Macaca fascicularis: one gene and its partners. The protein of the gene in region 7 purifies or fractionates together with the protein of the main gene of each other region. This does not show direct contact. Links are inferred from orthologs where the notes say so. Each region holds a gene or a part of one and is shown on either strand. Other genes may lie near its edges.

The links.
Region 1: the proteins of LATS2 (region 7) and LIMD1 purify together in Homo sapiens (affinity purification with mass spectrometry; 3 studies listed by BioGRID and IntAct, with this or other methods). This does not show direct contact. The link is inferred for Macaca fascicularis from reciprocal best matches to the Homo sapiens genes LATS2 and LIMD1.
Region 2: the proteins of LATS2 (region 7) and AMOTL2 purify together in Homo sapiens (affinity purification with western blotting; 3 studies listed by BioGRID). This does not show direct contact. The link is inferred for Macaca fascicularis from reciprocal best matches to the Homo sapiens genes LATS2 and AMOTL2.
Region 3: the proteins of LATS2 (region 7) and AJUBA purify together in Homo sapiens (affinity purification with western blotting; 3 studies listed by BioGRID and IntAct, with this or other methods). This does not show direct contact. The link is inferred for Macaca fascicularis from reciprocal best matches to the Homo sapiens genes LATS2 and AJUBA.
Region 4: the proteins of LATS2 (region 7) and MOB1A purify together in Homo sapiens (affinity purification with western blotting; 9 studies listed by BioGRID and IntAct, with this or other methods). This does not show direct contact. The link is inferred for Macaca fascicularis from reciprocal best matches to the Homo sapiens genes LATS2 and MOB1A.
Region 5: the proteins of LATS2 (region 7) and USP9X purify together in Homo sapiens (affinity purification with mass spectrometry; 4 studies listed by BioGRID and IntAct, with this or other methods). This does not show direct contact. The link is inferred for Macaca fascicularis from reciprocal best matches to the Homo sapiens genes LATS2 and USP9X.
Region 6: the proteins of LATS2 (region 7) and SAV1 purify together in Homo sapiens (affinity purification with western blotting; 4 studies listed by BioGRID, with this or other methods). This does not show direct contact. The link is inferred for Macaca fascicularis from reciprocal best matches to the Homo sapiens genes LATS2 and SAV1.

What each region holds. Positions count from the first base shown.
Region 1 is NC_088376.1:108,570,857-108,574,671, reverse strand, and holds part of LIMD1 (LIM domain-containing protein 1), read right to left. Parts: intron 3,326-3,815; coding exon 3,258-3,325; intron 671-3,257; coding exon 608-670; intron 1-607. UniProt on the Homo sapiens protein: Adapter or scaffold protein which participates in the assembly of numerous protein complexes and is involved in several cellular processes such as cell fate determination, cytoskeletal organization, repression of gene transcription, cell-cell adhesion, cell differentiation, proliferation and migration.
Region 2 is NC_088376.1:37,277,303-37,281,117, forward strand, and holds part of AMOTL2 (angiomotin-like protein 2), read right to left. Parts: coding exon 3,095-3,815; intron 198-3,094; coding exon 1-197. UniProt on the Homo sapiens protein: Regulates the translocation of phosphorylated SRC to peripheral cell-matrix adhesion sites. Required for proper architecture of actin filaments.
Region 3 is NC_088381.1:90,726,222-90,730,036, reverse strand, and holds part of AJUBA (LIM domain-containing protein ajuba), read left to right. Parts: intron 1-1,412; coding exon 1,413-1,514; intron 1,515-3,143; coding exon 3,144-3,211; intron 3,212-3,337; coding exon 3,338-3,400; intron 3,401-3,815.
Region 4 is NC_088387.1:47,773,428-47,777,704, reverse strand, and holds the start of MOB1A (MOB kinase activator 1A), read right to left. Parts: upstream 2,857-4,277; 5' UTR 2,644-2,856; coding exon 2,630-2,643; intron 1-2,629. UniProt on the Homo sapiens protein: Activator of LATS1/2 in the Hippo signaling pathway which plays a pivotal role in organ size control and tumor suppression by restricting proliferation and promoting apoptosis.
Region 5 is NC_088395.1:41,218,395-41,221,640, reverse strand, and holds part of USP9X (ubiquitin carboxyl-terminal hydrolase 9X), read right to left. Parts: intron 1,991-3,246; coding exon 1,853-1,990; 3' UTR 1-1,852.
Region 6 is NC_088381.1:118,599,695-118,604,001, forward strand, and holds the start of SAV1 (protein salvador homolog 1), read right to left. Parts: upstream 3,081-4,307; 5' UTR 2,748-3,080; coding exon 2,654-2,747; intron 412-2,653; coding exon 1-411. UniProt on the Homo sapiens protein: Regulator of STK3/MST2 and STK4/MST1 in the Hippo signaling pathway which plays a pivotal role in organ size control and tumor suppression by restricting proliferation and promoting apoptosis.
Region 7 is NC_088391.1:852,499-856,964, reverse strand, and holds the start of LATS2 (serine/threonine-protein kinase LATS2), read right to left. Parts: upstream 3,094-4,466; 5' UTR 2,853-3,093; intron 1-2,852. UniProt on the Homo sapiens protein: Negative regulator of YAP1 in the Hippo signaling pathway that plays a pivotal role in organ size control and tumor suppression by restricting proliferation and promoting apoptosis.

The DNA of each region.
Region 1 (3,815 bases), on a different chromosome or scaffold from region 7:
TTTAGCATCTCACCTGGGATGCCACAAGGATCACAGAGAAGCCAGAGGGAGGCCAGTGTGATTCAAACAGCCCAGGGGAGGAGAAAGCATTACCGGAAACATGACATCATATGCTCTAGATGGTTGAAGACGTTAATTCCAATTAAAGCCAGCAATGCGGGTTCTATTAGATCAAGCAAGCTGCACTTTATAGGGACGTCTTTTTTTTTTTTTTTTGAGGTGGATTCTCACTCTGTTGTCCGGGCTGGAATGCAGTGGCGCGATCTCGGCTCACTGCAACCTCCGCCTCCCGGGTTCAAGCAATTCTTCTGCCTCGGCCTCTCAAGTAGCTGGGACTACAGGCACACACCACCACTCCCGGATAATTTTTGTATTTTTAGTAGAGACGAGGTTTCACCATATTGGCCAGGCTGGTCTCAAACTCCTGACCTCGTGATCCGCCCGCCTCAGTCTCCCAAAGTGCTGGGATTAAGGCGTGAGCCACTGCGTCCAGCCGTAACCACAAATCGAGATAAGAAACACTGTCCTCAATTATTAATATCTTTTTTCTCTAAACGCCTCCTCCTCCACCTGAGATGCTGTTCTCTTCTTTGGCTGACCTACTCACCATGTCCATGATCAGATGTCCACAAAGAAAACACCTGTCAGCCGACTGCTGGAAACCAGAGTACTGCAGAAGAAAAAGAAAAGAAAGTTAAACCCAGACTGGGAAGACGAATCAGCCACCTCCCTACCAGCCAAGAGGATTATAAGGAATTTCTCAGAAAGATGTGTCACTCTGTGCAGAATTCTGTCATTCCCCAAGTACAACACAGCTGTGGGCTGAGTCACAGAATATTCTCTGCCACAAAAGCCATCACAAATACTAGTACCACTCACTCTAACAATGACTGTGTCTGGGCACCCACAGCATGCCAGGCTCTATGTAAGGGACTGTATATAGAGATGCTTTAATCCCATCTCAGTAGTTCTCAAAGAGCAGTTCCCTGGCATCACTTGAAAGCTTGTAAAAAATGCAAATCCTTGGGCTCCACTCCAGACCTATTGATTTGGAAACTCGGGGGGTGGGTTCTGGCAATCTGTGTTTTCACAAGACTTTCAGGGGATTCTGATGCATTCTCAAACCACCACTCTAATGCTTACGACAATTCTGCAAGGTCTACATTATTACCCAGAATCCTCAAATAGAAGCAGAGGGCAGCTCAGAGAGGTTAAGTGACCTTTTCAAGGTCACACAGCCAACAAACGGTAAGGACAGGAATCAAATTCAACTCCGGTTCTGGTTAATACCTTTTATAGTTAGCTTCAAAGAAACTTGATAATTACCTACTTTACCTTACCTTATCTTACCTAAACACATACACACACAGAGTCCTGAAAGACATGAGGTACTCTCTTCAAAAAACATACTAGATGCTACACACTAGACTAGAAGTTTGGGTATAACAAACACAACTTAACTGGGGGAAACCTAATGAAAGGAAGGTGGGAAAAACGAAAAAGGGAAACTTTCTGCAACTCTACACCATGTGGTGGAGGTTTCTGTCGTCTGGCACCTACGCCCCATTCTGGGGGTAATAGTTCTTTATTTTCATTTGGGATCCAGCCCCCGGCCCCACACCACGTGGCTCCCATCACCATGTGGGCTGGCTCCATGCCAGGGCCCAGGCAGGGCATTGACAGACCTGGTCCATCAGAGCCTTGCATTCCTCCAGTACTGATAGTTTTTCCAGAGGTGGGCATGTGGCCCAGTAAGAGCCAATGAGACTCCAGGAGATGTCTGTTGAGGATTCCAAAGGAAGGACTGGCACTCTTGCCCATCGGATGTGAAACTGAGAGAACGTAAACTCTGGGGTCCTGCCAACATCTGGCCATCACACAGGACCTGAGACTGAAGCTACCACTGAGACACAGGACCAAAAACTGTGGAGAAAATGACTCCTGAGGCACTGCTGGAATAATTTCCTTTTTACTTAAGCCCGTTTGGGTTTGCTTGTCTGTTTCTGGCCAACAGGAGTCATAATGAATCAACTTTTCAGTGAAAACCAAATAGAGCTTTTCCCCAAGGGAAGGCAGGGAGAAGCTGGCCCTGAGCCCATCTCTGCATCTCACATTCCTCATCCCTGAGATGACAGGGTCATTTCAACCACTATCTATCAAGCACCCACTCTGCATGGCATCGTGTTAGAATCTGCAGGTGTGAAGGTGAAGACACATGTTCTTTTCGCCCTGGGAGCTTTCAGTCAATGGAGGAGAGACTCGTAAACAGACATAATGCTCAGGGCTAACACCCCACAGCCCTGCCAGGGCAGGTCCCGGGCGTGGTGGCAGCACAGAGGAGCTCCTCCATTGTGGGAGCAGGAGGGACAGGAAGGCTGTTGGGGGGCTCTGGGAAAATAAAGGGGCAAGACATTGCAAGCAGGGGAAATGGCCCAAGCAAAGGCATGAAGGCATGAGGTTGCACAGGTGTGGGAAGCTGGGGAGTCCAGACCTCGGAGAGCTTCTGAGCGTGCTTTGTACCCTACACATGCTGGGACCAAGCAGGCCAGGTTTATGCCCTATAAGGCCTCTTGATGCGGGGGTGTGGAGGCCGTTAAGCTAGGCTGGCTGAGCCATGCCGGAGGTGTGAACGGAGGCAGAACTGTGGAAGACATGGCAGCATAGAGTTCAACGCCTGGCTGCATTCAAGGAGGTGGGGTTGAGGACAAACCTAGGAGGCAATTCTCACAGATCAGGACCCAAGGCAAGGGTCTTGGTTCACACAAGTATGGTGAGCGGCTGGTATGTGAGAGGCTGGGACACAGCCCAGGGGACATGTCCAGGGGCCAGTGGGATGCCAGCCGCTGGCCTCAGAGGTGCAGCAGGGCTAGAGCTCAGGTCTGGGAGTCACTGGCACATGGATGAACTTTCAGTCCATGGGAGAAGCTAGATTCCCAGAGAGAGTGGGATGAGAAGAAGAGAGCCCAGGTCCCAGTCCAGAGGTCTAAGAGGAGGAGTCCAGGATGGTAGAAGAGGCAGAACTACAGAAAGCAGCAAGAGGATAGGTCAAGTGACCCCACAGTTTCTTCAAAGTACAAGGCTGTGTGGTTTGCCATTGGCCTCGGGAACACGGCCACCCCCATGCATCTACAGAAGGAAAGGCAGGGCCCCTCTCTCCAGCAGTGCAGCTTCCCTGTGCGCTGGCCCAGGTCCCACCACGCCCCTGCCCTCTGACTCTGGCCAGGACATGCAAGGAGAGGCTGCGGTGACACACTCACCAGGAAGTCTTCTTCACAAAACACTTTGCCGTTGACAAAATAAAAGGCTTTTCCTCTCAGCTTCCGGCCTAAGGAAAAACACACAAAGACAGGGCAAAAAAGAAAAATTTTAATATGCAGTGGAAAAAGCGAAAAGTGAAAAGCAAAATCTTTAGGCAGAAATACACACATAAAAACCGCCAACTGTCAATGACACTTTCCAGTTCCTAAAAGATGCCGTGGCCCTTGGTGAGAGGCAGGCAGGCTGAGGCCGGGAGGAAGGGTGCCCTGGCAGGTGCTATTTGGCAAAAAGACTCAAGGGCTGACCTGGAAGTCATCCTACGCTCACCTTCCAGCACCTCCTCTCTGCTTGGAAAGACACCAGCAAAGCATTTGGTGGCGGGACAGCAGAGGCAACACAAGAGGGCGTCTGGGCAAGTCTCTCATGAAGATGCAGTTTCCCACAGGCATTTAGGATAGTCACCTTGGACGTATGCTCCAGGACCACTGTGACCGCCTATCAGGAGAGTCCTATACATTGGTTAACTATTATTTTCCTACCTTTTTCTCGCCTAAACT
Region 2 (3,815 bases), on a different chromosome or scaffold from region 7:
GGTGGGCACTGCCCGAGGTGGCTGAGGAGGCCTGGGCACTCACTGGCCCCTCCACAGCAGGTGGGTTGAGGGAGCTCAGGGGGCCATGGCCAAGAGCAGCTGGATGTGGGGGAGGGGGGTGCTCCTGGGGTTGCTGCAGGTACTGGTACTGTTGCTGCTGTTGGAGGAACACAGGCGGCACCTGGGCCTGCAGGATCCTGGGAAACAGAAGAGACGGTGCTCAGAGACAGCACAGACCCTTATGGTTCCCACCCGGAGCAGCCCAGAGTCGCCCCATTCCTAGGCATATTGGGAAGATGGTTATTATTCATAACTAATATTTATTAAAATTGCTGCAGATAATTATTCAACCCTCAAGTGGTAGGCAGGGACCAGTGGGGAAGGCCTTTTCCAAATGTTTCTGCCTAAGGCTCTCAAGAGTCAGACAGCAGAGCTGGAGGGGATTAATGTCAGGATGCTTGTTTCATACCCGCCTCACAGTGGCTGGGGCCTTGGAGATCAGCCTGAGCAATCCTGGGCCTCCTAAGCAACTAATGCTTAAATATGTCATCTTGAAAAATGCACCTTGACACTTCTAGTCAATGGAAGGTTCTTTTTGGGGCTGGAGGCCATGTCAATCATGACTGAGCATATAACCTTCCAGGGCCCAGGACAACTTGGTGGCTGGGCCCCAGCAGCAACCTTATGTCTATTACATGAGTGGCCAGTTTCAAGACTGCCAAAGCAGCACTCATTTTCTCCTTTCTATTTCAAGTCCTGCTACCCCCAGCCCCCACCCACCCAGAATCATTTTTAGAAGACTCCAGTTAAGGTTAGAACAGTGAGACAGATGTCAGGGTAAGAGTCTGAGCTCTAGAGTCTGACAAATAGGGGTTTAAATCCCTGCTCCAGTTGTTTAACCTTGGGCAAGTGCCTCAGCCCCACAGACAGGGCATTGCTCTGTTGCATCATGAGGGTCTCCAGCCTCGCCAGGGTTTGTGAGGATGATGCTATGTAAGGCCTGGCAGAGTGCGGGGCCGGTGCTGGGTGGGTGGCAGGTGCTCCTGTAGTGGTGGCCCATCCTCCATCTCTTCTAGTAGGAACCTCGGTTTACCCTCAGTTTAGAGAATAAATGTGGCCCAAACTCTGGGTTTCCTTGGGAGTAAGGGCTGCCTCTGGACTACTGTAGTTGCTGAGTTCAGGGGACAATGTTCTATTGGCCTCTGGCACTGGTGTAACATCACCCATAGGGCTCCGTATTGAGGGAAGGAGCAAAGGGCGAGAGGCACGGGGAGTTCAAGAGCCTTTCTGGGACCTTGTGATTCCCAGTGTCACAACTGCCGCAGTTTCACAAAGATTCTTCCAAGTCCCAGAAGCCCCACAAAACCCAAATTCTCCTTCTAGGTGCATCATGTCAGCACTCATGCACACCCAGCCTGCCCCTGCCTCCTGCCCCCATACAGCCTATGGCCCCCCTGCTCTTCTCAGGACCCTAGGCTAGGAGTCTAGCCCCAAGTTCCTAACAAATAATCTTCATCAGATCATCCGAAAGGGGATATTGGGCAGATGTATTTCTCCTACTATCTAAGATGGGGCTTCCAGTAAGAGCTGGGAAGAGGGTCCCCACTGGAGTACTCAAACTCTCCATTCCACTGCTAAAATGGCCATTCTCAAGGTTGCTTCAAGAACTTGCTCCCCCCTGCACTGGGCCAGGCAGACACAACTGGCATTCTTTCGGGATGACTTGGCTCTGAGAAAGAATAGCAACTCCTTTCCCTTCACACTTGCTTTCCTTTCTCCCCGTCCTCTCCCTCCCCCGCTTTTTGTTCTCCTGCAAACAGTCTACTTCCTTGCCACGATTACTATCTTTTCCTGACAGAGTTCAATAAGGCTGGTCCAAAAGAAGAAACCACCACTCAGCTTCCGAAACTCTTCCTGACCGAGCCCTGAGAAGGGCGATAAGGTGCGAGTCTGGAGGGGGTGGAGGCTGGAGAAAAACCAAGAGGCTCCATCCTCTGTTCCGCCATACCAACCCCATCATGTCACACATTTCTCGAGAGCAAGGAAAGGCCGGACGGTGGGAAAGTGGGTGACTAAAGGAAAACTCAGCAGGCATGAAGAGAACCAGACTTTGACCTTGGGCCACCAGAGGAAGAGTCTGAAATCCTTGGGGTCCCTTGGTGGGGTTTCTTGGACTCCCACAGGGGGAGATGCAGCAGTGATGGCTGTGTCTGCTTCTCTGAAAAGATGCGGGCCAGATGAGAAGCCTGAGGTGGGGCCTTGTTTCTAGGAACACTCATTTCTCCAAACTCTCTAGACTTCTTGCCTCCCCCAAGTCTTCCTGCTTCCATTTTGGCCCCTCACAAACCATGCTCTGCATGGTAGCCAGAAAGAGCACTTAGAAAAGGAAAACCAAATCACATCCCCCGAGGGCCTCCCAGCATACTCAGAATCAAACTCTAAGTCCCTGCCCTGACCCAGCAGCCTCTCCTGAGCCTCCCCAGAAAGAGGCCCACCCGGACCCAGAATCCTGTCCCACTGCAGGCTGCAGATGCAGGAAGCGTACGGCAGGAAATGGGGAGGAGAGACAGGGAAGCTCCTGCGCTGGTGTAAGATGCAGAGACGTCTGTAATGAGGCCACCGGGCCTTTCCAGCTTCTAGTTAGGAATGCCTCCCAATAATCATAGAAGGCAAGTTGCTCACATTTTCTTAAAAAGCCTCCAGAGAAGGAGGTCCCACCTTCTTCCTACTTAACTTGGAAACAGTTTGGCAATGATTCCCAACCTTGCCTTTAGGAAGTTATTTCTGAAATCTAACCTTTAACCGCCTGTTGCGATTTGTGTCCTCTGGGGACGGTAGTTACTAGAATGCTCAAGCTCAGCAGACAATGGTGCCTATCTCTGAACTAAGGCAAGGGACGCCACTAACTTCTTAGGGGACCTCAGTTACATCTCTCTTCTCTGCCAGGCAATAGCTCTCCCTTCTCAGGAAGCCTGGAGGTGGGGTGGGGATCTGGCCAGCTCTGACACAAGCTGTGATCTTGAGGCTCTCCTCCCTGACAGCCTGTGCTGGAGGATAAGCCAGGAACTGGAAAGCCCAAGGTGGGGAGAGTTACCTGACTTCAGCGTGCTGGAAGTGCGGGCTGCCGCGGGCACGGTACCGAGGGTCAGTGACAGCAGTGGTGGTCTCATGAGCTAGTACAACGTGAGGGTACTGAGGTGGGGGTCCTCGGGACTCTGGGCCCTCAGCAGGGGGGCCCCTCAGTGGGGGGCCCTGCTGGCTGCGGGCCAGCTGTGGGAAGCTGTGGGAGGAGCTCATGTGGCTGGGGGCCCGGGCGCCGTTCCTCTCCAGGGACAACTGCAGGAGCCGTTCACTCAGGGAGCGCACGTGCCCGTGCCTCAGCTCCCGCAGGGCCTCATCCTGCCTCCGACTGCCTCCGGGGGCCCCACGGGGATCTCGGTCCCCTGCATGTGGCCGGGGCCCCACCTGCTGGGCCGCATAGTACTGCGAGTGGGCTTTGGCCTCCTCATAGGTGGGCAGCTCCTCTCCCTTGCTGGGCTGTGGGCACAGCCGGTAGAGGGTGTTCTCTGCCAGGTGGTTCTCACCGCCCTGGTGCTCCTGGCCCTGGGGCTCCTGCCTGGTGGCTTGCTGCAGCACCTGACTGTCCTCTGGTGCCAGGATCTCCAGGGAGGCCTGGGGGCTCCCTGTGCCCCCAGTTCCTGCCCCACCCCTCAGGGCCTGCTGCTGGATGGCTAGCAGCGTGCGTGTCTCAGTCAGGTTGCCATAGCGCAGCTGCTCCTGGATGAGGCGGTGCAGGACTGTCCCCGAGGAGTCTT
Region 3 (3,815 bases), on a different chromosome or scaffold from region 7:
GAAGTCTTTTTGGCTGAACCATCAGAGCCAAAAGGAAGAAAGGAACTCAGAGAAACTGCAATAAAAGAGCAGGAAGAACATAGGTGTAGATATGCTGGGTTAGATGAGGTAAAGCCAACATGCCTGAGCAGTTTCATTTGCTCTTCCCATAATGTCCAAGGTTTCCTAAAGAACGGCTCTGACGGGACCCCCTGGCATGGCAATATTGGGGCAGATCTTCACTTCCATGAGGAAGCCACATTTTGAATTCAGAGATGGGGGCCCCGTCTCCCTGGGAGTGAGATTGCCTCCTTTGACAACCCCTACATACCCCTTGTGCCTCCAGCCCCAGCTTGACTGTACCCTCCTCCTGCCCCTAGTAGGGGCCCTCTTCCTTGGCTTCAGCTTTGCCCAGCTGCCAGAGGGTGGGAGCAGGACAGGTCTGGGCCCATCAGTTGCTGCAGCTGCTGCACAGGCTCCCAAGCCCCTGGGCAAAGACTGGGATGGGCCCCAACAGGCAGGGAGTGTGGCAGCCTGCCGAGGGGGAGAGGTGGGGCGGGCCCGTTGGGATCTGCTCCCCAAAGACAGGCCCTAGCCCTCACTCATGGGCCTGGAATTGGGGAGTGGAGGGAGGGAAGAACACACCCAGGAAAGGCGAGTCCCAGAGCCAGGTGTATGTATCTTAGCGGGGGACTTTGGAGAATAGCAAGCAGTTCAGTTCTGTGTTCTTCCCAAGATAGAAGGTGACTAGGAGGCATCAGGGGCTCTGCTACTCTCCCTGCTTTCCTGTTCAACCCTGGTTCCTGGAACACACCCTACATTCTCAGCAGTCACCTCCCCACAGGAGTCATGCTCACATGGTCCCCTCTGCACAGAGCCCTCTGCTGAGCCAGATCCTTTTCTCCATCCTTGGAAGTCTGCAGCAGAGAGAAATCATTCTATAACTGAACAGCTCGTTTGACTGATGGGAAACTGAAGTCCCAGAGAGGCTTTCTGGGCCTAGCCTGCTTTCTCTAGAAAGTTTTTTCAAGTCTGCTGCTGAGCACCTGTGGACCGGCATCTTTGGCCATTCATCCTACACACTGCAACAGAGATCATACCTTGCCTGTATAATCTTTTCTCCCCAACAGAAACTAAGCATCTGAATGCCAGGGACCATATCTCTGACCTTCTCCAGGTTTCCTCAGGTAGTGGTGCTGTGTTAAGCACAAAATAGATGCTCAGAAAATATCTGTTGAGTAATTAAACAAGAATGGATCTGCTCAACCAAGATCTTGCTACATGTCATTACTTCTTATCTTCTCTTCTCAGAAGGGAGCCCATCAAAGGGAGACTGTGACCCCTGGCACATCAGGAAAGGGCAGTCAGGAAAGCTTGGGAATCCCTGGTTTTGACCTGGGGGAGTAGAGTGTGACACTCTTTTCTCTTCTCAGGCACCTGTATCAAGTGCAACAAAGGCATCTATGGGCAGAGCAATGCTTGCCAGGCCCTGGACAGCCTCTACCACACCCAGTGCTTTGTCTGCTGCTCTTGTGGTGAGTGTAGCCCCAACACTCAAGCACTCCCCTCCCCTGCCCACATACACACAAGTGCTATAGGGAACAGGAGGAGAGCTTTTGCCTCTTCATTTGCTCACAGAGCAGCTGTTGGATCCCCACCAAGTGTCTGGAGGTCCGCAGCTGCTCCGCCTCTCTTGCTTCCTTGTCTGCCCTCTACTTAGCTCTCCCTTCCCCTGGTGGGTCTCCTTTCTGGAGTCCCTCCTTCCTTCCTTACCTCTGTTTCTCCTTCTCATGCCTCCTTGCTTGCCCATCCTGGACTCGCCTGGCCCTCCAGCTTCTCGGTGGGGCTTGGTCTTGGGCAGCCAAGTTGCCTGGGGCGACAGTGAAAGATTGGAATGTGGGGAGGGTGGGGGCAGGCTGGGGGAGTGGGGAGCTGCTGGGGGCGGAGAGGGGGGTTTTCTCTTGGCTGGTCAGAGTTCAGCCACCTCACTAGAGTGCAGGCCACCGGGCCATGCCAAGCTGATGACATCACGCTCCAGGAATGCCTGCCACTGTTAGCTCAGGAGGCCCACTTGGAAAGGGGGGATGCTCCCAGCGGCCTTAACTGCCCCCCTCCCCTCCCTCATTACCCCCTCCTCCCTGCTAACCCATTCTGATTCCTTTGCTAAACCTTTAATCTCCTATCTCTGCCTGTCTGACTTCAGCACTCAGCTTTTCTCACTCCCCCAGTTTCTGCCTGGTTCTCTTTAGGCTCATCTGTCTGTCTATCCTTCTGTTTACAGGGCCTCTTCTGGCTATATCTCTTTCCCTCTCTTTCCTCCCCTGTGTCTCATGAGCTTCTAAGTCAGCTTTCCTAACCCACTGGACAGAATTGGAAGTGGGGATTTTGAGGGGAAGAAGGCAAAGGTGGGAAAATTGCTCATGCTCCACCTGTTCTCACTCCTCCCCTATCCCTGATAATGTAGACACCTGGGAGCAGTTCCTGGGGGTTGGTCACATGGGGAATGGTCCTGCCTTGTCTGCTAGAAGAAGATCCTGGGTTGTCTCTTACCCTAGAGACTCTGGGTCCCTCTAAGCTTAGGGAAGCAGCCTTAAACAAACAGGAAAGGGGACCTGCTTTGCTTCCAAACAAAGCACTTTGTCCTGCAGTAACTCCAGTCCTGACCTCCATAGAGTCTGTCCCTGGAAGGAGACAGATAGGCCTTTGAGAGCAGGATAGACATGCTCAGGTGAAGAGGCTTCTAGGTTGAAGGGTCCCAGAGGGCAAGGCCTGTAACAATGTGATTCTCTCTATGCAAATCATATAGTACCTTATTAAGAGCTCATGTATTCCAGCATGTAGTTGGCTTTACTCTCCCAGGTGGCTTCCTATGCACTGGAGAGGAAGGCAGTTTGTTTAGGGGAGGGCCCTAGAAAACTGTTAAGGAGGCAGGAGCTGGAGGAGCAGCAAGCAGAAGAGAGGGGAAGTTGGCTGGAATGAAGCCAAAGCAAATTGGAATTGCATCAGATGGAATTTTTGTGTGGGGAAGAAGGACAGACAGCAGTTAGGAGGAAAAGTACAAAGTCCAGGTTTAAATATATTATGCAGCACTGGGGAGCAGTGACCCCAGAAGTCTTGCACCTGGGCTGTGGGATAGGTTCCAGCCCCTTTTCTGCTGTTTCTAGGGCGAACTTTGCGTTGCAAGGCTTTCTACAGTGTCAACGGCTCTGTGTACTGTGAGGAAGATTATCTGGTGAGTAAGGGTCACCTGGACCTGGAATTGGTTTCCATACTGACCCCCTTCTTGGTGGCCCATTGGAGTACCACCCATCATTCTCAGTTTGATAACAGCCTCCCTTTGTCTTGTCTTTTACTTTAGTTTTCAGGGTTTCAGGAGGCAGCTGAGAAATGCTGTGTCTGTGGTCACTTGATTTTGGAGAAGGTAAGTAAAGTGCCTTCAGCTGAGAACTCTCACTGTGAGGCTGAGGAGTGGAATCAGGGACTAAATGGATACTGAGAGAAGGTTGGGGGAAGAAGCCTGTCACCAGATGAATCACTTTCATCCCATTCCTCCCCAGAGCAGCTGTTTACAGTGGCTTCTCTCTGCCTATGGAATCAAGTCTGGGCTCAAAAGCCTGTCAACCCAGGCTTCTGTAACCTGGCCCCTTCCTAATTCTGCAGGCACAGCCAGGCCTTCCAGCCTGAGCTAGGAGTGTGGGGTCCTGAGTCTTTTTATTTATTTATTTATTTATTTATTTGAGACCGAGTCTCGCTCTGACATAGTGGCATGATCTTGGCTCACTGCAACCTCTGCCTCCCAGGTTCAAGTGATTCTAGTGCCTCAGCCTCCCAAGCTA
Region 4 (4,277 bases), on a different chromosome or scaffold from region 7:
TAATCCCAGCTACTTGGGAGGCTGAGGCAGGAGAATTGCTTGAACCCGGGAGGTGGAGGTTGCAGTGAGCTGAGATGGTGCCACTGCACTCCAGCCTGGGCAACAGGTGAGACCCTGTCTCAAATAAAAAAAAATTTTAAATTTAAAAAAAGAAGTAAAAAAGAATTATGAAAACACTGAAAATCAAATCTGAAACGTTTTTAACGTGATAAAAAATTATATTGAACAGGGAAGAAAATATTTGCAAATCACAGATGTGATAAGGACTTGTATCTAGAATGTATAAAGAACTCTTACAACTCAAAAACAAAAAGACAACCCAATTTAAAAACAGGCAAAAGATCTAAATAGACTTTACTCCAAGGAATATATACAAATGACCAATAAGTACACGAAAAAATGCTCAACATTATTAGTCATTAGGGAAATGCAAATCAAAATCAGGAGATACCACTCCACATCCACTTAGGATGACTATTAAAAAAGGAAAATTAACAAGTGCTATGAGAGGTGTGGGGAAATTGGACCCCTCATAGAGTGCTTATGGGAATGTAAAATGGTGCAGCACTTTGAAAGTTTGGCAGTTCCTCAAAAGGTTAAACACAGTTACCATGTAAGCCAGTAATTCCACTCCTAAGTATATACCCAAGAGATATGAACACATACATCCACGCAAAAACCTGTCACATATGTTCACAGCAGCATTATTCATAATGGCCAAAAAGCGGCAACAACTCAAGCGCCCATCAAGAAGGTCAAGTTTTAAAAAAAGAAAGTCTCGGCCGGGTGCGGGAGTGGATCATCTGAGGTCAGGAGTTCAAGATCAGCCTGGCCAACATGATGAAACCCAGTCGCCACTAAAAATACAAAAATGAGCCGGGTGTGGTGGCTGGCGCCTGTAATCCCAGCTACTAGGGAGGCTGAGGCAGGAGAGTCGCTTGAACCCGGGAGGCAGAAGTTGCAGTGAGCCGAGACCGTGCCATTGCACTCCAGCCTGGGTGACAGAGCGAAACTCGGTCTCAAAAAAAAAAAGTCTCACATTAAGGTCCACAAAGCAACTGTGCATTCACTAACTAAATATCAACTCGTAAGAAAAAAGTGGAGGGAGGAATACTTCTATTAATATGGAAATTAAATCTAAATCATACAGGCTTTTTGACAAGGTAATCGTATTTTAGAGACCATTCCTTTACGAGAATAACCCAAAGGAGGGAAAATGAGACGCAGATAAACATATTCTTAGTAGTCCTATTTTATAAAAGCAAATACTGGAAGGAATCCCAGTCTCTCACAATAAAGTGGGTGAACTCTGGTTATTAAAAAAAAAAAAAAAAACCGCCCGGGCGCGGTGGCTCAAGCCTGTAATCCCAGCACTTTGGGAGGCCGAGATGGGCGGATCACGAGGTCAGGAGATCGAGACCATGCTGGCTAACGCGGTGAAACCCCGTCTCTACTAAAAAATACAAAAAATTAGCCGGGCGAGGTGGCGGGCGCCTGTGGTCCCAGCTACTCGGGAGGCTGAGGCGGGAGAATGGCGTGAACCCAGGAGGCGGAGCTTGCAGTGAGCTGAGATCCGGCCACTGCACTCCAGCCTGGGCGACAGAGCGAGACTCCGTCTCAAAAATAAAATAAAATAAAAAAAAAACCTATGTAGTGTTTTTATATTGTATTTAATAAAAATGTCAAGCATGTGGATTGCATCCATAACTAAAAATGGATAACTACTCAATCAGGAAACACACATTTAAGCAATATACAAGGTAGAGAGCGCCACCCGAGAATAAAAAATACTTTGCCAGAGCAATGCTTCTCAAACCTTAATGTGCATAAGAATCATGAGGGAATTTACAAGCTTTTTCATTGTAGCCTTGTTTGGGCTCAGGCATTATCTCTAAAATGAGATTCTAAGGTATGTGTATCAAGTTAATTGCTGTAGTGCACTGAAATAGCAATACTGTTTCTGTAATGGGACTATGAATTTGTTTTAATTTTAACTTTCCAAATTATTTATAATAATACTGCAATGTACTATGTAATAATGTTGTATGGTATATTACATAATGATTAAAAACACACGATTCTACCGAGGACAAGAGAAGTTGGTTAAAATCAAAACCAGTAAGTGGGCAGAATCAGAATTGGACAGAACGATCCGACTCCAAGGCCCGCATCTTAACTTCAGGCTTCTCAAACTGCGGCAACGCACATTCTCCCGGAGCGGCATTCAACACCGACAATACTGAAACTGGACCTATAACCGAGCGGCGAGTTAAGTCGGCATGGACGGTTTCTAGAAGCTCGAGACGAGGGAAACTGGGGGCTCGCGGCTCCGCCCCCAGATCGTCTCCTCGCCCTCGGGGGCGCTCGGGCGGAAAAGTTTGCAGGCGCTACGGCCCCGGGGCCTTTCTACTCCCCAACCTTCACGCTCCGTTTCCTTTACCTCACCTTCACCTCTGTCGGCCTCTCCCAACATCTCGGCCTCCCCCGCTGACCCAAACAGAGGCAAAACAAACGCCAGCTACCCCGCCCCCGCCCCGGCCCCCAAGCCCAGCCCTCGCCTCAGGTCCGGGGAGGCCTCCCCCACGATCTCGGCCCGCAGCCCCAGTGCCCGCGGCCCGGCCCCACTCACAAGAGGAAGCTCATCTTCGGTCCTCAGATGGGAGGCGAGGGGCCTCTGGCCCCCGCCCGGATCAGGATTCGGAGCCGGCGAGAGGGAGAGGACCGTCCTTTGGTCACGGGCAGCGGAAGCCGGGCCGCCGCCGCTCGGAGCCGGATTTCTGGCCGCTGCGAGCCCTTGCAAACCTCGGCGCCCGCCTTGCCCGCCTACCCCACCTCGCAGACCCGAAATGCGGAACCAACAAAATCTCGCGAGCTAAGGTTTCGCGGCGCCGGGAGGGACTAGACGCACCCCCTTTCGCTCCGCCTCGTCCTAGAACTTGGCCAATCATTGCTCTCCAAGCCAGGCCCTCCCTCCCCGGGAGGCGTGGCGAGGACGGCGGTCCTGCGGAAAGGGCAGTGGCTAGTCCTGCTCTTAGTCTATCTTGGTGCTGCTGAGTTTCGACCCAGCTCCCTAGGTTGCGCAGGGTCCTCTATAAGCGCTACCTACCCCTGCAAATTTTAAAATTTTTAATTTTTACTTGAGATATATTCACATAGCATAAAATCTATCCTTTAAACATGTACCCTCTAGTGGTCCTTTTCGTTTATGTTTTTTCTTTTTTGAAGTGTCTCACTCTATCGCCCAGACTGGAGTTCACAGTTCACTGCAGCCTGGACTTCCTGGGCTTAAGTGATCCTCTCGCCTCAGCCTCCCGAGTAGCTGAGACCACAGGTGCGTGCCACCACGCCCGGCTAATTTTCTCAAAGTTTTTGCAGAGACGGGGGTCTCACTGTGTTGCCCAAGCTGGTCTTGGACTCCTGGGCTCAAGGGATCCTCCTGGTTTGGCCTCCCAAAATGCTGGGATCACAGGTGTGAGCCACTGCCTCCGGCTTTGTTTATGTTTTCAAAGTGTGCCAACCATCACCACTAATTTTTTTTGTTTGTTTTTCAGACAGAGTCTCACTTTGTAACCCAGGCTGAAGTGCAGTGGTGCAATCTAGGCTCGTTGCAACCTCTGCCTTCCAGATTCAAGTGATTCTCATGCCTCAGCCTCCCGAGTACCTGGGATCACAGTCGTGCGCCACCACACCCGGCTATTTTTTTTTTTTTTTTTCCAGTAAGGACGGGATTTCACCATGTTGACCAGGCTGGTCTCGATCTTGAACTCCTGACCTCAAGTGATCCACTCACCTTGGCCTCTTAAAGTGCTGGGATTACAAACGTGAGCCACGGCGCCCAGCCTAACCATAATTCTAGGTCATTTTCACCACCTGGAAAAGAAACCCCATACCTATTAGCAGTCACTCTTTATCACCCACCTCCCTCCTCCCAACCCCTGGCAACCACTACTCTACTTTCTATTTCCATGGATTTACCTAATCTGGACATTTCATATACACTGTGAACGGAAGTATACATTATGTGGTCTTTTGTGACTGACTTCTCTCACTTAGCATGTTTTAAAACTCACCCATATTGTAGCATGTATCAAAACTTCATTCCTGGCCAGGCACAGTTGTGCCTTACGCCTGTAATCCCAGCACTTTGGGAGTCTGAGGCTGGTGGATCACTTGAGCTCAGGAGTTCGAGACCAGCCTGGGCAACATGGTGAAACCCTGTCTCTACAAAAATAGAAAAATTAGTCAGGCATAATGGGGTGTACCAGTGGTCACAGTTA
Region 5 (3,246 bases), on a different chromosome or scaffold from region 7:
CTCAATTTTGTTTCTGCTTTGTTCAGTTCCAAGTGTAGCCTTTTGACAAAACATTTCCCTATTAACTGAATTGTAAAAAATACAACCAAGCTTGTGCTCATTAAATATACATGTATATAAAAAACATACAAAAAGTACAAGATTATGTTAGGAAACTTTTACAGTGTCAACATCCTGATTTCTCAAAATCTTCAGTAAAGGGCCAAAGGTCAAATCTTTCTGTGCACAAAAACTCAGTGTGACTGAAATCCTGAATCAGTGTCATGCCTAGGCATGCTATGCACAGAATGAATTTTAATATGCAGTCCTCTGTGAAAAAAAAAGGACAAAAAAAGTAACCAAAAAAAAAAAAAAAAAAAAAAAAAAAAACACCACAGGACAAAAAGTTCTTCTTAAATCAAATTCTATTTGTGAATTCAGCAAAATAATTTCTATAAAATAAAACAGCAAAATATTTAAATAGAATAGGGTGGGCTGTATCTGTTTGCAGGGTATTTGGTTTTTAGACAGGTTCCAAAAAATTACACACATTCAAGTTACCAATTCTCTTTTAAATACAGTATGAACTGAGGAGTTCCTTATTTGTAATCAAATGTTTATTCTGAAATTGTGATATCTCAATTATATTAACTAACCAGTAGTTTCTTTTTTAATGAGACCCTGCTTTGAACGTTAAACTTTTTGGAATAAGGGAAGAGGAGCTAGGACAATTCTTGCTTTCAAGTAAAATTGTGACTGAGCAGAAAATCAGCCAGCTATCTTGGTGCAGAGAGGTACTCCAAGTATCGTGGGGTTCTGATGACTTCCACGTCACTGGGATCCAGCAGAAGGAAAGTTTGAGAAGATTCACCTAATAAACTCTACCAAAGAAACAAAACAAGCACACCAAATACAGTCTTCTATTATGCTCCAGCATCTTGGCATAGCAAATTTTTGCATATTTGTTTTATATTTTTTAAAATTCCCATTACTGATACGTAAGTGTTCTTTATCCCACCCAGAGATTGAACTGTCAAACATTATACATAAGGAACATATGTGCAACTGAAAACAGCCTGTTTGTCACATTTCTCGCCTTGTTTTATATTTTAATATTCTAGGTGTAAGAAGTAAAAGCTCTGAGTAATACAGCTGTCACTTCTCGGACAACTGCTGTCATTATGGTAACTTTTTCCTCACTGGCTACACTAACTTGGTGTGAAGCCATGCTAAATGTTACAGCATAACTATAGCTTCAAAGTGATTAACCTAATATCAGAATAAAAAGGCAATGAAAAAAATCTAGAAACAGTGTTACATCACCAATTTTCCACATCAACCAAATAATTTAAAGGTTACCAGCCTTACACATTGCTCATAGCAAAATTGACTCCAGTGGCAAAGAATTAACATGAAACTATTGGTGTGGCTGACATGAATGGGCTCTGTTTTGTTGCTGTTGGGTTTTTTTGTAAAGGAGCTGAACCAACTGCCATGAGGCAGGCAACACTGGTTGCAGAGTGCAGTGGGTATAACAAGAAAATTAACTTTTGTAGTTTGTGTAGATCTGTGAGTCTCATCAAGAAAAAAGTTTCTTGCTTAAGAATTAACAGTCAACATTAATATACTATATACACCTTTGCCATTTACACATTAGCATCAGGCCATTTATTACAAAACACTATACACTTTCCACTGCAGGCGGGTTATATATTGACAGCAAATTTCTGCAGATAAGACAGTGAATAAACTCTCCACTCCATGTTGATTAGGAATAGTTTTTCTAGTTTTAAATATTAGCCAGACACAGAAAAAGGTTGGACTGTAAGGCCTGGGTGCACAGTCTTGATGGAACCAGTTAATTATGTGCATTTCATTGATCCTTGGCTTGAGGTGGGGATACTTCTTCACTGCCTTCATAATTTTCTTGTGCTCGTTGGCCAGTTCTCTGAGGGTTGTTCATGTGATGTGCTGCTGGGCCTGTATATGGCTGTCCATGCACATGGTTATTCTGGGAAAGGAGAAGAGATCTGCATGTTAAAACTTTTCACATAGTAAAACAACTTCAAAATCATGGTCTGAAGTCTCTGGAAATGTGAACTTTTATTCTTGGGACTTACTCTGTAAATACCGTTGGACTACTATTGTGCAAGAACAAAAACAAAAACAAAAAAAGGCTTGAAAGAGAAAAACATAATGTAAATGCAAACCCCCAAACCCTGAATAAGAGCAGTGATTGTGTAGGTCCACATACATCTTTGGCCAAAGTGATTTTTAGTGCCAAAATGATTTAGACTCAAGTCTGGCAAATAAAGGATTAACCCACTGTTGCTCTTGGTAAAAAAATGTTCAGAAAACAATCTATGAGCATCTATTGACTCTTCCACATGCTAAATCCAATTGACTAACCATGATACAAGATATACAGGAGTAGTAACCCTGAACTCACAATAATGCTGATTAAAAACAGAACAATGTTCAAGATGATAAAGTAACCAGGCATGATTAACATAAGAGCTTTCTCAGGGTCAAAGGAAGTTAACCTCCCTTGTGGATTTGGTTCCTTAACCTTTTAAAATGTCTGAACCCTACAGTGCTCTCATTTTTCTGTATATGCTCCATCAGCCACGCCAAGATTCTAGACTTTTTTTTTGAGATGGAGTTCACTCTTGTTGCCCAGGCTGGAGTGCAATGGTGCTATCTCGACTCACCACAACCTCCACCTCCTGGCTTCAAGAGATTCTCTTGCCTCACCCTCCCGAGTAGCTGGGATTACAGGCATGCGCCACCACACCCAGTTAATTTTGTATTTTTAGTAGAGACAGGGTTTCTCCATGTTGGTCAGGCTAGTCTCAAACTCCTGACCTCAGGTGATCCGCCTGCCTCAGCCTCCCAAAGTGCTGGGATTACAGGCATGAGCTACTGCGCCCATTTCTACAGATGAAAATACGTATGCTGAATGTGTACTTCCTAACTATTCAGTTTGCTTCTGTGTACACAGTGAAACGTAAGAAAGAATGCCTGAAATGTTTCTCCAAGTATAGTTCCTGGACCACCAGCAGCATCACTTGGGAACTTGTTAGAAATGTTCATTTTCCAGCCCCTTGAAGACCTATGAAATCAGACACTTTGGGATAGCGTCTAGCCCTCTGCTGGAGCAAGCCCTCCAGGCAGACTCATGCCTGTTCAAGTTTGAGTACCATTGCCTCACAAGAGCTGATTTAGTCACATTTCGGTTTCAGAAAGAAAAAGTTTTCATTTAGAATG
Region 6 (4,307 bases), on a different chromosome or scaffold from region 7:
TTTGGAAGAGATCATGGTTGTATTCATAATATCTGTACTCTTCATGTGCACGATCTCCAAGTGGCCGCTTTCTCTGACCATCAAAAAAATTGTCTGAATAATAATATCGGGAACCAGAGTCTCCATTTTCAACAGCAAAACTAACTTCCGTTACAAACGACTGAGAAGAACCATACTCCCTAGGGACATCTGCTAGACTTCTGGCAAGATAAGAAGGTGCAGATAATCTGTTGCTTTCTCTTCTCATTATTTCATGAGGTGTTCTCTGAATTGGAGTTCTAAGGAAACTCTGGTTTCTTGAAACTACTCCATCTCCAGAAGTTGAAAAGGCATTAGGGCTTGAATCTGGAAGACAGATATCAGTTCGTCTTGGAATTGTTGGACCATGCCGGATGAAAGAAGGCATAAGATCTATAATAAAACAAAGAATAAAATTACCCTTTCATCAGTAAGTAACAAAAGTTTTCGAAAGTTGTTCATTTACATCTACCACCCCAAAATCAAATGTCAACTTAAAACACAATTTTAAATTTTGGTTTAGGATGGTACTTGGGCATTTTAAACTGAAGAAGGTTAATATTTTCCCAATCAAATGAATTTATATAACTTGCATTAATATGCTATGTGTAAAAGCTCAGCTAGAATGAAATGTATTCTGCATACTACCATACATAATATGATAAAATGCCAATAATCTTATCTGTGAACTACACATTAATGACATGGTCATGAATTAATGAATAATAGGAAACAATCTAACAAACTGATAGTTTCTAGTTAATTAAGCTAGTAGTTTATTTTGTTGTTCTCACTTCATTTTAGAAACTGCCAAAAATCCTTCTTGAAGCAAACACAATTTCAAAAATAAAATAGAACTTAATGCTACTCCCAAGTATGTAAAAGTGGATTCCTTTAAAGATTAAAAAATTAGTAGCTCTTTCTTCTCTTGGAATTACCTAGCACTAGCACAGTAATCAAAAGCTAGAAAGCCAAAAATTTACGTATGAAAATTGAAAAAAGCTCTCATTTCAAAGAGGCACACAAATGTTGAATTGGCTCAAAAAAACCAAGCCTGAAACTATGTAATTATAATTCAAAATAGTAGACAATAGAACAATGGCTTTTAGGATACTGTACTTTTAAACACGAAACTTGAAAACAGCTTAAGACATTTCTAGTTAGAAAGCAAATACCTTTAAAACAAGAAAAAACCTGAATATGGAGACCCTCTTATTATTCATTAAGTAAACAATATTGGAGACACTCATATTAATAAGCTTCAGAAACTAACACTGGACAGAAACAAATATCCGAATAAATAAGGCTCAACACTTGATGTAACGACAACAACACAAAGTATATCAAAAGTTATTTGCTTAATTGTGACAAACATGAATAAAACTGCATGTTCTGCATATGTACCCCAGAACTTAAAGTATAATAATAAAAAAAGTGTGACAAACATGATTCACGATTTCAAGTAATGTTTGATAAACTTTATTTGTAGCAAACAGCAAGCTATCACTTAAAAACAGCCAAAAACCTAACAGCATGTGTAACTGAAAATCAAGTTTAAAAAAAAAACTTAAAAATCAAGTTTCCAGTTACTGACATGCTCAACTGACATATATTTTGTTGAAAGTATTGCAAGTACTACTATAAATCTGGAAGGCTGACAATGTGGTTATAATGGAGAACATGCTCTCCCATCTGTGTGATCTTGGGCAAATACTAGAAACCTAGCATTCCCAATTACAGTATGAGGTAATACTTAAGTCACAAGGTTACTACCAGCTTCCAAGAAGGAAACTTACGCAAAGGGCCCGGGGCGCAGTATAAGCACCAAAATACCAGCTCCATGCCTCACAAATGTCCTGAACACACAATAATTAAAAATCCAAGAGATTCAACTCAAAAATCAAATACTTAAATTAAGAAGAAAAGTAGCGGGGGATCGGAGGTGGGGGTTGAGGGTGGGATATACCCTATCAAAAAAAAAACACTTTTCCGGGGGTGGGGCGGGGGACGGTGGAATTTCTCTAACACGATAGAAATAATTTTGAGTTGCCTTTTTGGAATCTCACGAATATAGCCAAATACAAAGGCTTTTGGCTCTCTGCTCTGGGATGTGCTTTGGGTGGCAGCCACAAGAACTATGGTGTGCTTTTCACCTTCTCAAGTCTGCATCCGGCAGCAGGACTAAGGAATTCTGCCCCAGAGTTTGCACAACTTGCAGCACGGTCGAGAGACACCAACAATGTTTGCAAACATGAGGCACATCTCGACGCACCCAGAAGAATAAAAAGTGTCCCTGTCTAATTACTCATTAGGTTATAAACAATTTAAGTGTTTTCTAGTCTCTCTTCCAGTACTCAAAACCAACAACTCTCTGCCAGGCGGGGTGAGGAAGTCTGTTATTTTTAGGGGGGTGCTCTTGGCGCGGTTAGGCGCGGGGGGACTAACCCAAGTTTCTTAGTCTTACGGGCTTTCAATCAACGAATACCACTTCAGGCACAAGAAAATCTCAAAACCAGTATTTCACAGCGACCAGCGACGAAGGAGAAGCCCTGGGGACCCGCCGGCGCCCCCGCCCAGGTCCCCGCAGCCCCCGGCCGCCTGGGCCAGGTGTGGGCGCGCCCCGCCTGACACTCACTCCGAAGCAGAGGCGACGTCTCCTTCTTCACGTACTTCCCCTGCACCTCGGCCGGCTTGGACACTTCGTTTTTGGTTTTCTTTCGGGACAGCATCCTTCTCGACGAGGCCCGAGGCCGCGCTGAGCTGCCTCCCTAGGGCTCCGCGCCGGGCGCCGGCCGTCTCCGCCGCCACCTCCGCCGGCGCCGGCGCCTCCTTCCCTCCTGAGCCGCCGCCTCCGCCGCCGCCTGTCCGGAGCCCGGGGTTGCCTGCAGGGACTGCCGCATGTTCAGGGCGCTAAGCGCGCCGGCCGCCGCTCAGTCGCTGGTCAGTTCCTTCCCGGAAGTCGGCCCGCTCTGCGACGCTGTTCGGGGACGCCGTGAGAAAAGCCCAGCGACGCCAGGCCAGGGCCATGGTTCGCCGCGGGCCGCCGGGCAACCGCTACCACTACCGCCGCCGCCGCCTACATCCCGTAAACTTTCCCCGCGGCCGCTGGGAATTCTGGGAAGCTCGACGCAGCGCGGGCCACCGCCGCCCCTCCCCCACCACAGTCCCGGCGCGGCTCCGGGGCGGGACTCGGGTGCGGGGGCTCTCGGCTAACGGGCGGGTCCCACCGAGCCGCGGCTGTCCTCACTCATCCTCAGCGAGAAGCAGGTCCTGCCGACTGAGAAGATGAAGGACGAACCCTGCCTCGCTGAGACCGGGAGCTCGTCGCATGCGCAAGTCGTGAAGCCACTCTCCACGACAGTTTTTTTTTGTTGTTGTTTTTGTGTCCTCCCAAGATTTCTAATGGAGGCAGTGACTCCCTTCTCCCAAGACGGGTGTTCTTCTTAGTGTTTCCAAGGCTGGTGAATTCAGTTCCGTAAAAAATGTGGAATGCTAACCATGACCCCCAGGGTAGTGCTATATCATACCATCTATTCTGCTGGAAGCGTTCATGCTGGTTAACTAGAAATAAGTTGATCCTCTACTGAGTATCAGGGAGTGCGTTTTTCTAATAACAGGAAAAAACGGAAGAATGCAAGATGGAATTTCCAGTACCTCTTTTTGAGATACATTTGGTGTTAGCATATTGCAATTATTTTATTGCATCATTATCATTAGTATGATTAATAGCCACGTATTTCCTCCTGACGTTATGTGTTACGATCTTAGAATTTTGAGGACTTTGACCACTGCAAGTCGGGACCGGGAATTTTCTATCTAAAATAATAGACTCTACTTCCTTCTATATAACTTAGCAAAACTGCCATATGTACAGGATAACATTTGGAAAATAAGATTGGATTCATCCCCTAGTGACCAAATTCAGGCTTTAATAATGAAGAATGCTTTCCCTGAGATCTAAAACATCTCACAAGAGATCTAAGACATGTCACAACAAAAGACATGGAATTTTTTTTACCACATAACATTAAAAAGATGGTCAAATTTTGTTTTACCATGAGCAAACAAATGAGACATTTAATCTAGGGTCTGTCTCCATATGTTCCCTTGATGCAGATCTCCCCCAATTCATTCATTTAGCAATAAATACTCATCACCCACTGTGCTAGGCACTGTGCTAGGTGTTTGTGATATAGCCATAAGCAAAACAGACAAAAATTCCTATGTCATGGGAAAGAAAAAAATGACGAAAAATAAGCAAAACATACTATGTTAGATAGTGGTAAGTG
Region 7 (4,466 bases):
AGCATTCCCCTCCCACCAAAAGAAAGCGCCTCCCACCAACCCTGTGATTTGCTAAGGAACATGTACGGCTCCAATTTACAGTATGTAAACTATTTCAAACTCGATGAAGAAGCCAGAAGAATCCCTTCCAGTTCTATAATTCATTGATTCTAGTAATTCACCTTGGTAATTTTGCAAGACAGGATAGCCTCTGCTCAGATACCTTAAACTGCCTGCCTGGGATTTGGAAAGTTATTAAATGCTCACCAACTTATTTTCAAAGGAATGCCGGTATATTCATTATTCTATTATTATTATTACATTCAGTGCCTTCTATACCTGCATGAGACAAAATTTTGTAAGACACTGAATAACACATCTTGCTAATTACAATTAAATAGACGTCATAAACAGTTTATACATTCTCATTTTGGAATTTTTTTTCTGTTACTACCTTATTACAACGGTTATTTCAGAAAAAAAAAACTTAAAACATACAAAGCAGCTTACCAAAAATATACAAGATTTAGTACAAATTTCCCAATAATCAGCCATGAGTTACTTTTTCCATGATTAAGGGAAGGCCCCTCATCTTCTAAGTTAAAATTTTAAGCAGAACAGTTGTGTAAGATCACACACATTTTGTGATTTCGCATTCAAATTTCAGTATATTTGTTATTAAAATATGGGCAAACTTTCCTCTAAAAGTGTACATATTTGTGGAATACTTTGTGAAAAGAGCTGTTCAGCTATTAATCTGAATTATTTACCGGCCAAACGTATACTCTTATGGCTTAGTAGTTAAGGTGAAATAATTTTTTTAATGCTATTACATTAAAAACACTCTTGGCCGGGCGCGGTGGCTCTCGCCTATAATCCCAGCATTTTGAGAGGTCGGCGGATCACGAGGTCAGGAGATCGAGACCATCCTGGCTCACACGGTGAAACCCCGACTCTACTAAAAATACAAAAAACTAGCCGGGCGAGGTGGCGGCGCCTGTGGTCCCAGCTCCTCGGGAGGCTGAGGCAGGAGAATGGCGGGAACCCGGGAGGCGGAGCTTGCAGTGAGCTGAGATCGCACCACTATACTCCAGCCTGGGCGACAGAGCGAGACTCCGTCTCAAAAACAAAAACAAAAAACAACAACAACAAAACACTCATATCCATCCTAGAGAAGCGTGAAAATGTGAAAGTTCTTGTTCAAAATTCTTGTCAGGTGGGGCGCGGGTGGCTCACGCCTGTAATCCCAACACTCTGGGAGAACGAGGCAGGTGGATCACCTGAGGTCAGGAGTTCGAGGGCCAGCCTGGCCAACACGGCGAAACACGTCTCTACTAAAAGTACAAAATTATCTGGGCTGGCGGCGGCGCCTGTAGTCCCAGCTACTTGGGAGGCTGAGGCAGGAGAATCGCTTGAACCTGGGAGACGAAGGTTGCAGTGAGCTGAGATCGCGCCACTGCCCTCCAGCCTGGGAGGCAGAGCGAGATCCTGTCTCAAAACAACAACAACAAAATTTTTGTCAACAAAATCTGAAAGTTAAGTTCTTTCATAGTTATCCTCGCAAAATAGCATTTCTCATCCAAAGGCCTCAGAACAGCCGCCAGCCGCCGAGCTCACTGGGGACCCTGCTACCGGCTGCTTGGCGCCCCGGTCGGGTGGGTTTTACCTTCTTCAGGGTCCATTCCTCGCCTCGCCCCCCGCTCCCACCCCTGGGGACACTGGAAACTCGGACTTTACAAACGGGTTTGCTCCAGGCCGCACTCCATGCCCGAGGGAAAGCTCCCCAGAACTTCTGGAGTTGGGCAGCGATGGCAAGATGTGAACGATGTCAGAATCCCCATCTCCGGAGTCCGGCTGCGAGCTAAGCGCAGGTGAGCTTGCATCAGAGGAGAAAGCCAAGCCCCCGACACGTCGCTAAACTAGGGCACGGGAATGGCGTGTTATGCAACGGCCGCCGCTCGCGTGGCCACGAAAGCGCTCCCGCGGCTCGGGCCGCGTCCCGCCAAGACCGTGAGCAAACTCGCAGAGTCGGCGCGGCAGCCGGCCGGGAGACGCCGAGCAGGGCCTGGCCGCCCGCGGCCGGGACGAACGGCGCCCCCAAGGTCCGGAGGTCTCCGAGGGGCTGACTGGCCCGCGGGCTGGCGGCGCGGCCGCGAGGAACGGGGTTGGGAACGTGTGGCCGGGGCTGAGGCGGCGCAGCCACGGGGGCTGAGGGGCGGCGCGGCCTCGGCTGCCGCACGGCCGTGGGTCTGTCGGCTCGCGGGACGACGGGGCGGCCGGCGGGGGCGAACGGGGCGGGCTCCGAACGACTGATTGGCCCGTGGGACGATGGCGCGGCCGAGAGGACGGCCCCGGCTCCGTGGGACCGCTGCGCGGCCGGACGCGGGGGTCCCGAGGCTGTCAAGGGCGCCCGGCCCGGCGTCTAGTGGAAAGCCGAGCCCCCGGGGACAGCGGAAGCAGAGGCGCGCCCGGCGCTACGGCCTTTCGGATCTGGGACACCGCCCCCGGCCCGCACCGCCCCTGCCCCGCCGTGATCCCGGCCGCCCCCGCCGCCGCACAACAAAGCGGCGCAGCCCCGCTGCCCCCGCCCGACGCCGGCCTCCAACTTCCCCGGCTCCTCCGGAACCGGCTCCGCGGGCTCCGCACGGCCTGGACGACGCGCCGCCGGGCGGGGGCGGCTCCGGGCGGGCGCGGACCGTGGGGGCAGGGCGCAGGGCTCCGTCCGGACAAACTTCCTCGGCCGCCCCGCCGGGCGCCCTTCCCGGAGCCTCGGCCCCGTGGTGGGTGCGCGGAGCCGCAGGGCTCGACCGCCTCGCGGAAACTCTCGCCACCCTCCCGGCGGCCGCCCCGACCCCAGCCCCCAGCCCCCTCACCTCCAGGGGCGCGGTCTACACCCTCGGGGGCGTCCTGGCCCGCGGCTCCCGGGCCTCGCGCGCCGGGAGACCGGGCACTGGTGGCTGGAGCTGCTGCTGGCCCCGCAGGGACGGGGGAGCCCCGGGCGGCGGCGGTGGCGTGGACGGCGACTGCTCCATCTTCCCGGGGCGCTCACGCCGCGGTTCCAAAGCGCAGACCCAAGTGGGACATTCGCTACATTGTTGGCATTCCACGGGCGTCACGTGACCCCGCCTCCCGCGTCACTCTCGGCCGCATACCAGCCCGGGCGGGGCGCCTGCGGCCCCTGCTCCTCCGCGGCCGCTCCGCCCAGCCCCGCCCGGCCGCGCTTCCTGCCTCCGGCCTCGACCGCCACCTGCCCGCGGCCTCCCTGCTGGCCTGCGGTAGCTCGCCGGGGCCTCTCGGACCTATTTGACTCTCTGCTAGCCGCCCCCAAACTTGAGTATTTGCCCTCTCGACTGCACTTGTATTAAAAGTTGGTAACTGTTGTTAAAGTCACTATTCTTAAGTATCTCATACCAGTCTTGGTGGGGGGAAAAAAAAGCAGGCCTGAAGGATCCACCAAGTTACCAACTAGGGGCGGGACAGTAAAAATAGGGGCAGGAAAGGACAGACGGCTATTGGGACAGTGGAATCAAACAATTAAGAACGTCTGCCAGGAGCGGTGGCTCGCGCCTGTAATCCCAGCACTTGGAGAGGTTTAGGCGGGCGGATCACCTGAGGTCGGGAGTTCGAGACCAGCCTGACCAACATGGAGAAACCCCGTCTCTACTAAAAATACAAAATTAGCCAGGCGTGGTGGCGCATGCCTATAATCCCAGCTCTTCGGGAGACTGAGGCAGGAGAGTCGCTGGAACCCAGGAGGCAGAGGTTGCAGTGAGCTGAGATCGCATCACTGCACTCCAGCCTGGGCAACGAGCGAAACTCCGTCTCAAAAAACAAAAAAGAACGTCTGATGCACACCCAAATTTAATCTGATTTAATGTAATCAACCTCCCCTCCCCGTGTATATTTTGTTTCTGATAAGTGTTTTCTGGTGTAGGAAATAGTGTAGTACTATATATACTAGCAAGTGAGGTCGTGAGTTTTGAACAGCTCCAGTATCCATTTGAGGACTTTGGATCTGGTACAGGGACAGAAGCAGGGATTGTGCAAAGATTCAGAGTAGAAATAATAGACTGGAAGCCAAATACTCAATCTACTTCTGGCTCTCCTAACATCGTACTTCTTACCACCTACATCTGTGGCAAGTGATGCTGAGGGTCAATATAGTTTTTAAAGTCAACTCAATTTCCTCTTTAATTGACAAACTCTTGTGAAATTTTTAAATTTTACTCTCATGGGAAACAGTAATAAAGGTCATTATCTGTGCACTATTTTGACAGTCTCACCCAGCCTTCAGTCCCTGGTCCATCCTCCTCCCCTCCTTCCTCTCTTTCAGTCTCTTAAGGCCTCTGCTCTTCCAGGGAATCTTCTCAGATCTCTGTTTTCTCTCTTCTTTGGGCTCTGATAATCAAACTGTAATCCCTTCCTGCCAGCAGAATTGTGCAAAAAAAAAGAAAAAGAAAAAAAGAAACCATTGTGCAGCTTAGAAT